Mus musculus: one gene and its partners. The protein of the gene in region 1 binds, or shares a complex with, the protein of each later gene. Links are inferred from orthologs where the notes say so. Each region holds a gene or a part of one and is shown on either strand. Other genes may lie near its edges.

Evidence for each region. The genes of interacting proteins can lie anywhere in the genome.
Region 2: the proteins of Xiap (region 1) and Casp7 are in contact, whole or in part, in a crystal structure (PDB 1I51), measured with the Homo sapiens proteins. The link is inferred for Mus musculus from reciprocal best matches to the Homo sapiens genes XIAP and CASP7. Residues at the interface, in NP_001158.2 of Homo sapiens: His136, Ala137, Leu140, Leu141, Gly144, Gln145, Val146, Val147, Asp148, Ile149, Ser150, Asp151; in NP_001218.1 of Homo sapiens: Tyr230, Trp232, Arg233, Ser234, Pro235, Gly236, Arg237, Trp240, Glu274, Ser275, Gln276, Asp279, His281, Phe282.
Region 3: the proteins of Xiap (region 1) and Ripk2 are in contact, whole or in part, in a cryo-EM structure (PDB 8AZA), measured with the Homo sapiens proteins. The link is inferred for Mus musculus from reciprocal best matches to the Homo sapiens genes XIAP and RIPK2. Residues at the interface, in NP_001158.2 of Homo sapiens: Lys208, Asn209, Trp210, Glu211, Pro212, Cys213; in NP_003812.1 of Homo sapiens: His136, Asn137, Met138, Thr139, Pro141, Ile208, Asp278, Glu279, Arg280, Ser282, Lys285.

The regions. Positions count from the first base shown.
Region 1 is NC_000086.7:42,098,469-42,102,993, reverse strand, and holds part of Xiap (E3 ubiquitin-protein ligase XIAP), read right to left. Parts: intron 4,191-4,525; coding exon 4,112-4,190; intron 3,158-4,111; coding exon 3,115-3,157; intron 999-3,114; coding exon 798-998; intron 1-797.
Region 2 is NC_000085.6:56,431,181-56,435,705, reverse strand, and holds part of Casp7 (caspase-7 precursor), read right to left. Parts: intron 2,465-4,525; coding exon 2,328-2,464; intron 1,905-2,327; coding exon 1,776-1,904; intron 1-1,775. UniProt on the Homo sapiens protein: Thiol protease involved in different programmed cell death processes, such as apoptosis, pyroptosis or granzyme-mediated programmed cell death, by proteolytically cleaving target proteins.
Region 3 is NC_000070.6:16,125,067-16,129,591, reverse strand, and holds part of Ripk2 (receptor-interacting serine/threonine-protein kinase 2), read left to right. Parts: intron 1-482; coding exon 483-569; intron 570-1,877; coding exon 1,878-1,971; intron 1,972-4,525.

The sequences.
Region 1 (4,525 bases):
GATTCTGAGGGTTCTGAGAGCTGCTGAGGAGTTTTGAATCAGAGAGAGAGAGGTACTGCCATATTTGAGCTCTCTGGGTATGAAAAGGACAAAAAGGATTGTTCTAGTCTCTTCTTAAGAAACAGCCTTCAGGGCTGGCGAGATGGCTCAGTGGGTAAGAGGTAACTGCTCTTCTGAAGGTCTTGAGTTCAAATCCCAGCAACCACATGGTGGCTCACAACCATCTGTAATGAGATCTGACACCATCTTCTGGTGTGTCTGAAGACAACTACAGTGTACTTATGTATAATAATTGACCAGAGCGAGCGGGGCCCACCTGAGTGAGCGGGGTTGACCAGAGCGAGCAGAGGTCTTAAAAATTCAGTTCCCAGCAACCACAAGAAGGCTCACAACCATCTGCACAGCTACAGTGTACTCACATAAATAAATCTTAAAAAAAAAGAAAAGAATCAGCCTTCAGGCTGGGTGTGGGGCTCACGCCTTTAACCCCAGCATTTGTGGGGTAGAAACAAGTGGATCACTTGAGTTTGAGATCCAGCCTGGTCTACATAGCAAATTCCAGGACAGCCAGGGCTATACAGAGCTGTCTCCAACCCCCACCCCACCCAGAGAAAGAAAAAAGGATAAAAGAAAAACTGTCTAGAAGTAGCTTATCTGCTGTAATTTTGGTTGTTCATTGAAATAAGAGAACCATAATACTAAGTTCAAAGAGTAAAAGTGTTTATTCTATGGGGATATTATAAAGGAAATGGATGGGCTACAAGGTGAATTTTCCTATAAAAACAAACAATGCATACCTTTCTGCAATGAAGTTTGACTTGACTCATCCTCCGTATTATCTTTCTGAGCACTCACAAGATCTGCAATCAGGACCTCAAGTGATAGATAGCTGCTCCCGGATGTTTGGATTTTTTCTTCCATTGTTTTCTTAATGTCCTTGAAGCTAAATCCCATTCGTATAGCTTCTTGCACCATAGGATTCTGGAAGATGGTATCATCTGAAATCAAAGTTGGGTGGAGAAAGAACATAGTAGAAGTATTTTCATTAACATAACTAAACAGTAAAATAGTTTAGGGATTTGAGACTATCATATTGATGATAAGTTCAACAGTAGAGTGTTTGCCTATTATATGTGTTGCTGTGCCTTTGATTTCCAAAGCTGAAAAGAAAAGTGCTCGTGCACACCTTTAATCCCAGCACTCAGGAGGCAGGGACAGGCAGATCTTTGAGTTCTAGGCCAGCCTAGTCTACAGAGAAAGTTCCAAGACATCCAGGAAACCCTATCTCGAGAAACCACAAAAAGAAGTATGCTAGAGAAAAATGATTTAACTTGGTTATTTATACCTGCTACCAAGTCCATTCCAAATAATATAACGTAGCTCTGCATTTCAAGCATATTTACAAATATTTGTAGTATCCTAGATGATGTTACAACATTAGGGAATAGGGACTCACCAGATACTCTAAATTAAAACATACTGCTTCAATTGAAAAAGGACATCTTAAAAGAAAAGAATAGACAAGAAAACAAAACAAAACAAAAAACTGAAAACCCACAAATGGAAACTCCAAAAGAACTAGTGTCTGCTCGGCAGTGGTGGTGCATGTCTTTAATCCTAGCACTTGTGAGTCAGAGGCAAGCGGATTTCTAAGTTCGAGGCCAGCCTGGTCTATAGAGTTGAGTTCCATGACAGCCAGGTCTATACAGAAAATACCCTTCTCAAAAAAAAAACAAAAAAAAAAACAAACACCAGTGCACAGGTGTTGTGGTGGACACCTTTAATTTTAACACTCTGGAGACAGAGACAGAGGCAGGAAGGTATCTGGGGGTTTGAGGCCAGCCTGCTCTTCAAAGCGAGTTCCAGGACAGTTGAAATATAGAGAAAAACTCCGTTCCACACCACCACCACCACCACCAAACCCCCATACATAATCACACTGAAAATTACATTTAGGGCTGGAGAGATGGCTTAGCTGTTAAGAGCACTGACTGCTCTTTCTAAGGTTCTGATAAATCCCAGCAACCACATGGTGGCTCACAACCATCCATAATGAGATCTGACGCCCTCTTCTGGTGTGTCTGAAGACAGCTATAGTGTACTTACATATAATAATAAATAAATCTTAAAAAAACCTAAATCTACAATATGCTATGGAATTTAGAAGACCCTGTTATAGTGCTTAGTTCTATTAACAATTTATAATAGTGCATGCATTTAATTGGGAGGCAATAGCAGGCATATCTCTGTGAGGTTGAGGCTAGCGTGTTGTATAAAACAACTTCCATGACAGCCAGGGGTACACAGAGAAATCCTGTCTCTAAAAACAAAATGAAACAAAACGAAATTATACCATGGCCATGGGTAGATCACATCACCTTTGTTTCTTCAGAGGAATGTAGGACTAACTGCAGTGGATGCAGCTCAGAGTACTTACTATTCACGGCTCAGTCACCAGCACCAAACAACAACAAACACCATCACAGTATCGGCTTTAGCTGCATGTGGGGGCACACACCCCAATCCCAGCACTTAGAAACTGAGGCAGAAAGAGACAGGTCCAGGCCAGTCTGGCCTACACAGTAGACAGACTACTGGGATAGCTCAGAGGTTAAGAACATTGGCTCTTCCAGAGGACCTGAGTTCAATTCCTGGCACTCACATGGAGGCTCACAACTACTTTTAACTTCAGCCCCATGGGATCTAACACCCTCTCCTGGCTTCTGGGGCAACCAGGCATGCATATGGCACACATATATGAAGGCTGACCACCCATACAGATTAAATAAATAAGTAAATAAAAATGTAAAAATCTAAACTTCTAATCTCTTTGTTGTTTTAATACATTTTCCTCCCTCCCTTCCTTTCTTAAAACCATGCCATGCAATCCAGACTGACCACAAGTTCAGAATTCTCCTGCTTTAACATTGTGAGTGCTAGGATTAGATTTCCACCACAGCACCTGGCTTTCTATTAATGTTCTCACTACAAAACTATCTGGAATAAAATTATAAGCACTTCATTAAATTCTTAAATTTATAGCAGCCTCATTAAACATACTATAATAAATTGGCCACAAAACTAAACAGATTTATTTTTAATAGGCATATTTACCGATTTTTTTAGTTAGCGATGGTGTTTTTTCAGCAGTTCTTCCCTAAAATAGAAATATGAATGGTAAGAATTCACTTTAGCAGAAAGCAATTATCTCAATTTGAAAAGTTAATAAACTTAAAACAAATTGGCTTTATTCTAATTTAAAAACCCTGACTATTCATAAGAGCATAACCTAACGGAATGGAAGGAAGGTAAGACTATCTATCTACTCATCACCCCTTTATAAACAAGAAGCTGAGGGCCAAAGAGATCCAACGATCCCCTGGAGAACAAACCAATACAAATGCAGCTAAAAGCTAAGGGTAGAACCGTCATGTCCACTCTAGACTCCCACTGCAGTCCAAAGTTCTTCTCAGTATACTAATGCTCTGACGGCCACTGTTCTGTGTCAATTCAGACACAGTTGTTCATCTTGATTGAACCCAGGGGCTTGTTTATGCTAGCCAGAAAAGGTAAAACCCACGTATATCTCTGTCCTTATTTTTGCAATCTGAAGTATTATCTGCTAAAAGGTTACTAAAGACACACACACACACACACACACACACACACACACACCATAGGAAGACTAACAGTCAATGAACTTGGACCATTGGAGTCTCCTAGAGACTGAATCACCAGCCAAAGAGCAAGCATGGGCTGGACCTACACATGCCCCCTGCACATATATAGTAGATGTACAGCTTGGTCTATGTGGGTCCCCCAACAACTGAAGTGGGGGGGGCTGTTCCTAAACCTATTGCCTGCCTGTGGATCCTGTTCCTCCAACTGAGCCTCCTTGTCTGGCCTCAGCAGGAGAGGATGTACCTAATGCTGCAGTGACTTGATATGGCAGGGTGGGATGGGGAGAGAATGAGGGAAGAAGTTGTGTAAGGGAGAAACTGGGAAATGGGGAGTGGATATTGGGATGTAAAGTGAATAAATAAATTAATGAAAACAAAAGAAAAACAAATAATATAGAATTTGAAAATATATTGCACAATAAGCTACTCACCAAAGATTCCTCAAGTGAATGGGTTAAATGAATATTATTTATATATTCTTGCCCCTTCTCATCCAATAGGTATTTGCACCTAAAAGATTAAAGAAAATTAAATTAAACTCTACTAGCTGATAAATTAGTGAAGTACTAGTAAAGGCAGTCTCCAGCATTCAATTCCATTAACTATCTTGGGGCCAGAGAGAAGGCACTTTCTGACAAGTTCAATCTCAGGAGCTCACAGAGGAGAACAAACCCCTCCAGGCTGTACAGACCGCCAACTGTGCATTATGCGATGTACATCCCCCACCCATGCAATGGACAAACAAGTAAAACCAACCTTTTCATTCTTGTCTTTTTTGTATGTTACTGGGGATTAAACTAAGAGCCATGAGCACACTAAGCAGGCACTCCATCACTTAACTATAA
Region 2 (4,525 bases), on another chromosome or scaffold:
CACACACACACACACACACACACACACACACACACACACACACACACAAAGGGCAAATGGTGCAGTGGCTGGGGGAGGGGAAACAGTGAGTGGTTAGGAGATAGGTTATGGAAGACGAAAAGAATTCTAACAAGATGAGTGTGTTTAACTCCCCTGAACTCTTCTCTTTAAAATGATTGAGACAGTGGCTTTGTAGTACGCGTAACTTATCACAACAGCAAAACAAATACACATGGGAAGGACCCTGGATTCGCATTATGGGCACACATGCACATCCATGTTTACGGTTGTATGGGTCACAGTAGCCAGGGGCTAGAACGTGCCATCAATCGAAAGTAGATACAGGAAGAGTGTCCATACACACAATGGAGCTTTGTGGAGTCATGAAGAAAACGGCAATCATGACATTGCCAGGGAAACACACAATGGAGCTTTGTGGAGCCATGAAGAAAACTGCAATCATGACATTGCCAGGGAAAGGGACAGAACCGGGAAATTGTATGTTAAGGGAAACTAGCTAGTTCAGACACAAAGACCCAAGTTTCCTCTTGTGTGTGGATGCTAGTTTTAGAAGTCTGCAAGCCTGTATGTGTGTACTCGTGTAAGTGTGTGCACGTTGGTTACAGAACTTGAGAGGGGAGCAGAGACATAAATGGGGGTGGGGGTGGGACCCATCTGATACAAAAGGAGTGAAGGCAGCTGAGAGGGGCAGGGGACCGAGCAGAAGAGTGGGGGTCATGAGAACAAGCACAATGGCGTACAGATGTGAAACCTATCACCCTGCATGTAAACTAGAAAGTTAACAGGAAAGAGTATCAGACGGCTGTCAGTACAGGGATTAGGAGAGGAACACAGCTGACTGGCCTGACCAGGTTGTTTATATGCCTGTGACAGGGACCAACCTACCAGCTGATACCATAAACAGCCATTTCAGGCATACCTCCTGTGTGCTGGCACTCATACAGGCACTTTATGTGACTTATATTAATATTTAACTCTGTGTGTGTGTGTGTGTGTGTGTGTGTGTGTGTGTGTGTGTGTGTTTTCAGGTACCTGCAGAAGCCAGAAGAGGGCATCTGATCTTCTGGAGCTGGCGTTATGGGTGGCTGTGAGCCATCTAATATGGGTGCTGAGGAGCGAACTCGGGCCTCTGCACAAGCAGTGTGCACTCTTAATCAGTGAGCCATCTCTTGGGCCCCGAGAAGTCAATTAAAAGGAAGAAAGGCACATAAAATCTTCCTCTTTCAGACCTGTAGTTAAAGAAAGTTGTCCCCTGCTATGTGTAGGTCCCGTCTAACGAGCAGGTAGGATTCTACTTTCAGGCACGTGCCCCAGGTGTGAGAGTACCCCAGTGGCATCCTTTAAGGCACATCCAACTCACGGTTGTGGGCAGCCTGTGCCACAGGACAGCTATGGACTCAGGCTCAATACAAAGTGGGAAACTTACCTAATTCTTTGTAACTGACTTTGTAACTCTACCTGGTGCATGCGCATGAACTCGGCAGATGTCAATGAATTGTCACTATGTTCAAAGGTTGGACAGGCCCGGTATACAGTAAACACATCTCTCCGGGAGGTGGGCATAGCTCTTGGAGTCTCGTCTGGTCCCTAATTTACTCTCCAGCCTCTCTCTTACCCTGTCCAAAGTCCATCCACACAATTACAATGTAGTCTGTCTATGGCCAACATTCTATAGCCTAGGCTCTGTTCCTCTAGGTGCCTGGGGTGGGACAGACAGGCACAGCTCACACTCACCAAGCACAGCTCACACTCACCTTTTCTAAGCAGATCTTGCATCTTTGCACAAGAGCAGTCATTGTGGACGGTTACTTCAAAACCCAGGTTTTGGAAGCACTTGAAGAGGGCCCCTGCATCTTTGTCCGTCCCATTCCGGACGTCCATACCTGTGGGGGTAAGGCAAGGAGTGGGGTGAACAGGCTCTAGTCAGATCAGGTGCCGTGTGGGCTCCAGCAACACTCCCTGAAGCAGAAACAACACTTCTCAGCTCAACCACACACGTGAGACCAGAGGCAAACTCCAAAGGACCCAGCCTCCACTCAAGGTGAGCTTCTTCATGGTCTTGGGATAGCCAGGTCTGGCTGTCAATGTCACACGGTCTAGAACCACCCAAGGGAAAAAAAAAAAAAAGGCCATTTTATCCCAGCAACAGGAAAGCAACTAAGGCAGGCTCCTACAGTACATAGCGGGACCTCAGACTGAAAATTCTCTCATGGAGAGCCGCTGGCACTGCCGCCCTCTGACGAATGTCTGGTAAAGTGCGGAGGACGTGGGAGGGTCAGGAGGGCTTGGCCCGGCCCCTCACCCACCTGTCGCTTTGTCGAAGTTCTTGTTGTTTATGATGATGCATTTACCCATCTTCTGGAAATCCATGCGGTACAGATAAGTGGGCACTCGGTCCCGGCCGGTCCTGACGGGGCCCGCAGAGGCATTTCTCTTCTTCTTCCTTGGGTTACAGAAAGTCAGTTAGAGGCTGTGGAAGCAGTCTGGGCAGCCGTGTTGAAGACCCAAGGTGGACAGATGGTTCTGTTTCACTGTCATGTTTAAATGGAACAAGGCTCCAGGGTCAATTTCAGTAGACGTCAAGAAATGCAAATCACAGTCACAATTATGCTGGTGCAGTGTGCGTCCCAGAGTGGCCACACTGAGAGAAATGGAGTCTGCCAGGCCCTTGTAGGGATGGTGGGGGTCCACTGGGTAAGGCCGGCAGGACACACACTAAGCTTACACAAACACAAACCTTGGGTCAGGCAAAGGTTTACTAAAAGACAGGGTTACACTGTTCACCTTGTCCCAGACAGGAAATAGCCTGCAGTTCTGTTTATGTAAGTAGCTGAACCGAGGAATATTCACGTAACAGGTAAAACAGGCCGAGAATGAGCCGAGACAGCACGCAGCACATGAGTGAACATCACAGACGGAACACAGCAAAGAGCCGATAAACAAAAGACTTCACGCACACTTAAGCACCTCACAGTAGAAGCCAGAGGAAAGCCAACCCCATTTCTTTTTCCTTTATTAAAAAAATGTGGTGTGTGTATGTAATGTGGTGCACACAATGTGTGCGTGCACGTGTATAAGTGTGCTCACCCGCGTGTACCCACGGACACCATCAACATCAGAAGTCTTCTGTATTAATTTTCATCTTTTAAAAAAGACAGGCTCTCTCTGTGAACACGGAGCTCACTGCTTAAGCTAGCCAGGCCTGCCAGTGAGCCGCCCTGATTCACCCTCTCAACTGCCAACCAGTGCCTGGGTTGCAGGCGCTTGCTGCAATGTCTCACTTTTATGTGGGTACTAGGACCAGAGCCCATGTCCTTAGGCTTGCAAGCAAGCTCTTTACCCACTCAGTCGCCATCTCTCCCGCCCCTGTATGTTTTGTATGGATTGGTGATGGTTACAGACACAGGTGGGTAAAAATTCCCAGGTATACATACATTCTGTATGGATGAATATTTCAATGGCATTAACATTAACTTTTCCCCATCCTCCAAACAACTATGGTACTATTAAGCAAAGGCACACAGGGGCTTCATAGGATCAGGGAGAACGCCCAAGGCCAAGGGCACAGTTCAGATCTGGCTGGGATGTGATTCTCTGGGAGTCAGCCTCCTGGTGTGTGCTTCTTCTACATAGCACCTTGTTTGAACAAACACTGCCTTTGATACTGAAATCCAGGGCAGGGCTCCCTCACCTCTCTCAACTTAAATTGGAGAAGCTGGTGCACAATCCCAGACCTTTCATGAACAGGTTCCTCACCCTGTAACTCTCGACCAAGGCAGCTCTAGACTGGCTTTAGCTGGTGCTCTCTGTGAGAGGCCTTGGTAAGAGCCGGGATGTGAAGAAAATGAGAGAAAACGAGAGGCAGGAGGGAAACCTAGTGCTTCAACTTCATTTTAGGGCATAATTCCTGCACCATACAGCTACCTAAAGGCTATCCTGGGACTGTGCGGGTGGCAGGATGGCCCACAGGCTGGAGAACACTTTACTCAGGAATTCCCTTTAAGAGGCACAATTCAACTTCCACCTTCTGTGGAGAGAATCCTATGGTGATGGGCTAGCCAGGTGGCTCAGCAGCGTGACCTGAGTTTCATCCCCGGACTCCACGTGGTGCAAGGAGAAAAGTGACTCTAGCAAGATGCCTTCTGATCTTCACACACATGCCACGGCATCTACGCACACGTGCCCCTCCCCCAACAGCTCCCCAATTACCCCCCCCCTTATATTTTAAATGTAATTTTAAAAGCCCTACAATTTCTAGGATGACAGCCACGTCTCAGACATGCTGTGACTCTTAGGCCATTACGGTCCCCAGGAATGTGCAAAACAAAACCAGTCAGTATCTTTTATAAGAAAAAGGGGCTGGAGAAAACGTTACATGCGAAATCGAAGGCCTCTGCTTCTGTAAGAACAGAACCTGGATCGTTACCTCATCATTTAATAAAACAGTTATTAATTCATTCAGTTAAAAAAAAAGGAACAAGAGGGGGGAATGAAGACACACATA
Region 3 (4,525 bases), on another chromosome or scaffold:
ACACACACACTATACAACACACACACACACAGGGGCCAGTTATTTACATATCTTGGGCTCTATGCTTGACCATCACACATGCACATCACACTGTACCATGGTAACACACTACCACCTTTACATTGGTCCAACCTTGGTTTCTTTTCAGTACAATGAAAATAGTCATAGAAGTATAGTCCTTGCATAATAACAGTTATGGATAAATAGAGCATACAGCAAAATTGAATACCCAGCTTGAACCAAATGCTTTATTATTTCAATCTTTAAATAGTCCTGTTTGTAAGCATTAAAGATGAAGCTGCAACTCTCTTGAGATAATAGTTACTAAATCAAACAATATGGGGCAAGATGCAAAATCTATTCTCTAAGCATTTCTTGTTCTGTACTGTCTCTACCTAATTAAGTTATATATTCACAAATGATGTAAATTTTGTTTCCATTGATTTTTCTGTAAACACAAAACATGTGTATGTTCATTCCAGATACAGAGTTCCTCAAGTACTATTCACTTATGTGATAAGAAAATGGATTTATCGCTAAACATACCTGCAAATCATCCCCCACAGGAGGTATAAGTATACTTCTGTTATACTAAGCTTGGATGTGAGAACAATGTTAAAAAAAATCTTTTAGTCAGACCTCTTTTATAGCGCTGGAAAACTAAAGTCCAGGAAGCATTTATAATTAGCTAAGTAGTCATGACAATCTCTAACCTGAAATCTCACTCCACCCTCTTTGGATGATGCTCTAGGGTGGTGGGTAGGTAAATCATAGGTGATCATTTCATCACTGTTTTATAGCACCCTTCCACCTCTTACAGTAAATAATAAGTTTCTGTTGCTCTCTAAGAGTTATATCTTTAATTGGTCATTTTTATGAATCATTTTAAGATTATATATCTACTTTACAGGTTCATAAAAGTAACAGTACATTCAAAAGATCATTAAAGCACACCACATAGGTTTTTTTTACATTTGTTTACCCAGCATGTGTACATGTGTATGTATGTATGCATGTGTGTTAAAGGATAACTTGCAGGAATCCATTCTCTCCTTTACTATGTGGTTCTCAAGGATCACATTCAGGTTATCCACTTGGCTACCCACTGAAACACCACACTGACCCACAATATGTAGTTTCAAAATCACTTATATATAAAGTATCTAATTTGATCCTTGTAACAAGCTAATTTTTTATTGGATATTTTCTTTATTTACATTTCAAATGTTTTCCCCTTCCCAGGTCTTCCCTTAGGAAACCCCCTATACCATCTCCCCTCCCCCTGCCTCTATGAGAATAATAAGCTAATTTTTGATGAAACATTAAAGCCAGAGAGTTTCAATGAATATTTGGAAAGCAGTAAGCAATTCAGTGACAGAGCTAAGTGTGACGATCTCCATAGTTTCTCCAAGCATTTTTCTATGCCTTCAGGTTGAAAGAGCCTGATAACCAGCATCTACTCTAAATCAATAAATAACCACATGTTTGTTGTTCATCATTTTAGCCACAAACGTCCTCTAAATCATAATGGGTGTATAGTTATTTCCAGTACATAGCTATTGCCCCATCCCTTCCATTTGAGTTGATAAAGACATTAAATTTAGAGATTGAGGCGATAGCTCAGTGGTAAAGCACTCACCTATCATGTCTGGGGCCCTAGGTGCGACCCCTAGTAGAGAAAAGGGTGAAAAAGAAATCACATTTGTTTGTGATGGTTTTATACCTTACTTCCTTATAATTTATAGTAGTTCTAGGTTTCCTTTATTAATAACCAAGAATCTAGAAACTATAGCCATGTAATTTTAAAGACAATGCCTTTTCTACAAAACTTTATGTATACAGCTCCCCTCAACCTGTTGGTCCTCTGTTTCCTTTAGGAATCGTGTGGATCCTCTCTGCTCTCTAGAAACACTGGTTCTCCTGGACCCTCCAGATCCCTATCAGCTCCTCAAGACAAGGGATTTTTATCTGGTATGCCAGTTTTCCAGTCAGCGTGCTTACATACCTTTTTACTTTCTTTCAAATTATACCCTTGTCAGACAGATGGTGTGCGTGGAACTCATTTCTGATTTGCATTCATGATCCATTTTTTTAAAGTAACAAGGCTACATATGTAAAGGTAGCAGTAGCATGATGAACAAATATGTTTATATTAAAGGCACTCTGTAATCATGATGGAAAACTTATATATAATATATGTGTGTGTATATATATATATATATATATATATATATATCACATCACTACAGGAAACAAGACACATTCTTAAGAAAGTATTTTTTTTAATAGCTGTGTGAGGGAGCCAGTCTTAGTCCTTGTTGACAGATTATGAACTCTGGATCACTTAGCAAGTAGCTAGCAGACCCAAGACTTGAGTAATGCCAGGCTCTTTGATGAATACTTTACTTTGGCGAATGTCACTCTATTATGTCATCATGAAGACCGTATTTCTGGCTGAAAGCTGACCTCTACTTATGACAGGCATTCCGTAAAAAGAACAATATGGAGTCCAGAAGCAAGGAAACGGGTGACATGAGTAATTTAGTTTGTCTTGTAGATAGAGTAAAAATGAAGAGATAAAAGATTAAGGAGGATTACAGTGATATCTGCAAGAATTCCTAGGGACTGGAGAGAGCTCAGTGGAAAGGGTGCTTACTGTTGTTCCAGAGCAATCATGCCTGATTCCCACACAGTGTCTCAGAACTGCCACGACTGCAGCTCCAAAAGATCTCCCACCCTATTCTGGCCTCCATAGACACCAAGCATGCACAGTGCATAGACATAAATGCAGAATAAAACACTTATACATACATATATTTTTAATTAAAAAATTAATCAATTTTTAAAAAATACTACATTTCACTAATATTACTTAGGCTTCTAAATTCAGGAGGAAGTAACTCTTAAAGAAGGCTATCATATACAAATTTTTGCTTTAGGAAGGTTCATCATGGCTGGAATTAGATAAAAAAATTAAATCTCTTGTTAGGGGGTGGGGGATGGGTAGGGCTAGACCATCACAGTGCACGTGTACAGATCAGAAGTCATCTTTGAGAGTCACTTATCTCCTTCCACTGTGGAGTCTGGGAATCAGATTTAAGTGAAGCAAGCGCCTTGACCCACTGAGCCACCGTGATAGCCCTGCAGAAGCCACTTGAAGTCAAGAGGAGGCTTGGAGTCAGGGCAGTTAAAAGGGAAAACAGGGAAGGTGGTGTGAGAAATTAGGGCAACTCCCTGACACCTTCTGACTGCTTACCTGAGCTGAGGGAGGAGGCCATAAAGCTGAGTGCTACATTGTTTAGCTATGAGCACTCACAGCTGTTAGAACTAAGGACTGAGTGCTGCATTGTTAAGCTGTGAGCACTCACAGCTGTTAGAACTAAGGACTGAGTGCTGCATTGTTAAGCTGTGAGCACTCACAGCTGTTAGAACTAAGGACTGAGTGCTGCATTGTTAAGCTGTGAGCACTCACAGCTGTTAGAACTAAGGACTGAGTGCTACATTGTTAAACTGTGAGCACTCACAGCTGTTAGAACTAAGGACTGAGTGCTACATTGTTAAGCTGTGAGCACTCACAGCTGTTAGAACTAAGGACTGAGTGCTACATTGTTAAGCTGTGAGCACTCACAGCTGTTAGAACTAAGGACTGAGTGCTGCATTGTTAAGCTGTGAGCACTCACAGCTGTTAGAACTAAGGACTGAGTGCTGCATTGTTAAGCTGTGAGCACTCACAGCTGTTAGAACTAAGGACTGAGTGCTGCATTGTTAAGCTGTGAGCACTCACAGCTGTTAGAACTAAGGACTGAGTGCTGCATTGTTAAGCTGTGAGCACTCACAGCTGTTAGAACTAAGGACTGAGTGCTGCATTGTTAAGCTGTGAGCACTCACAGCTGTTAGAACTAAGGACTGAGTGCTGCATTGTTAAGCTGTGAGCACTCACAGCTGTTAGAACTAAGGACTGAGTGCTGCATTGTTAAGCTGTGAGCACTCACAGCTGTTAGAACTAAGGACTGAGTGCTACATTGTTAAGCTGTGAGCACTCACAGCTGTTAGAACTAAGGACTGAGTGCTGCATTGTTAAGCTGTGAGCACTCACAGCTGTTAGAACTAAGGACTGAGTGCTGCATTGTTAAGCTGTGAGCACTCACAGCTGTTAGAACTAAGGACTGAGTGCTGCATTGTTAAGCTGTGAGCACTCACAGCTGTTAGAACTAAGGACTGAGTGCTACATTGTTAAGCTGTGAGCACTCACAGCCGTTAGAACTAAGGACTAAAGTGGGGCTAGGGTTAAGACAGATGATGATTAAGATTTACACCTTTTTTATGTTATGTTTGTTTGAGTCTTTGAGTCGTCATCAGTGCCCTTTGGGGAGGTGATGTGCAGTGAGCCTCTGAGAATGTTGAAGGGACTGGGTGTTCAATGGTGACAGAAAGATAATTACATAAGCTTGAAGTAGGATAAACAGTTGGAGCACTGAAATTGTTTTCTAAAGGAGAAAGTAGAAAACACATGTCAAGTACAGAT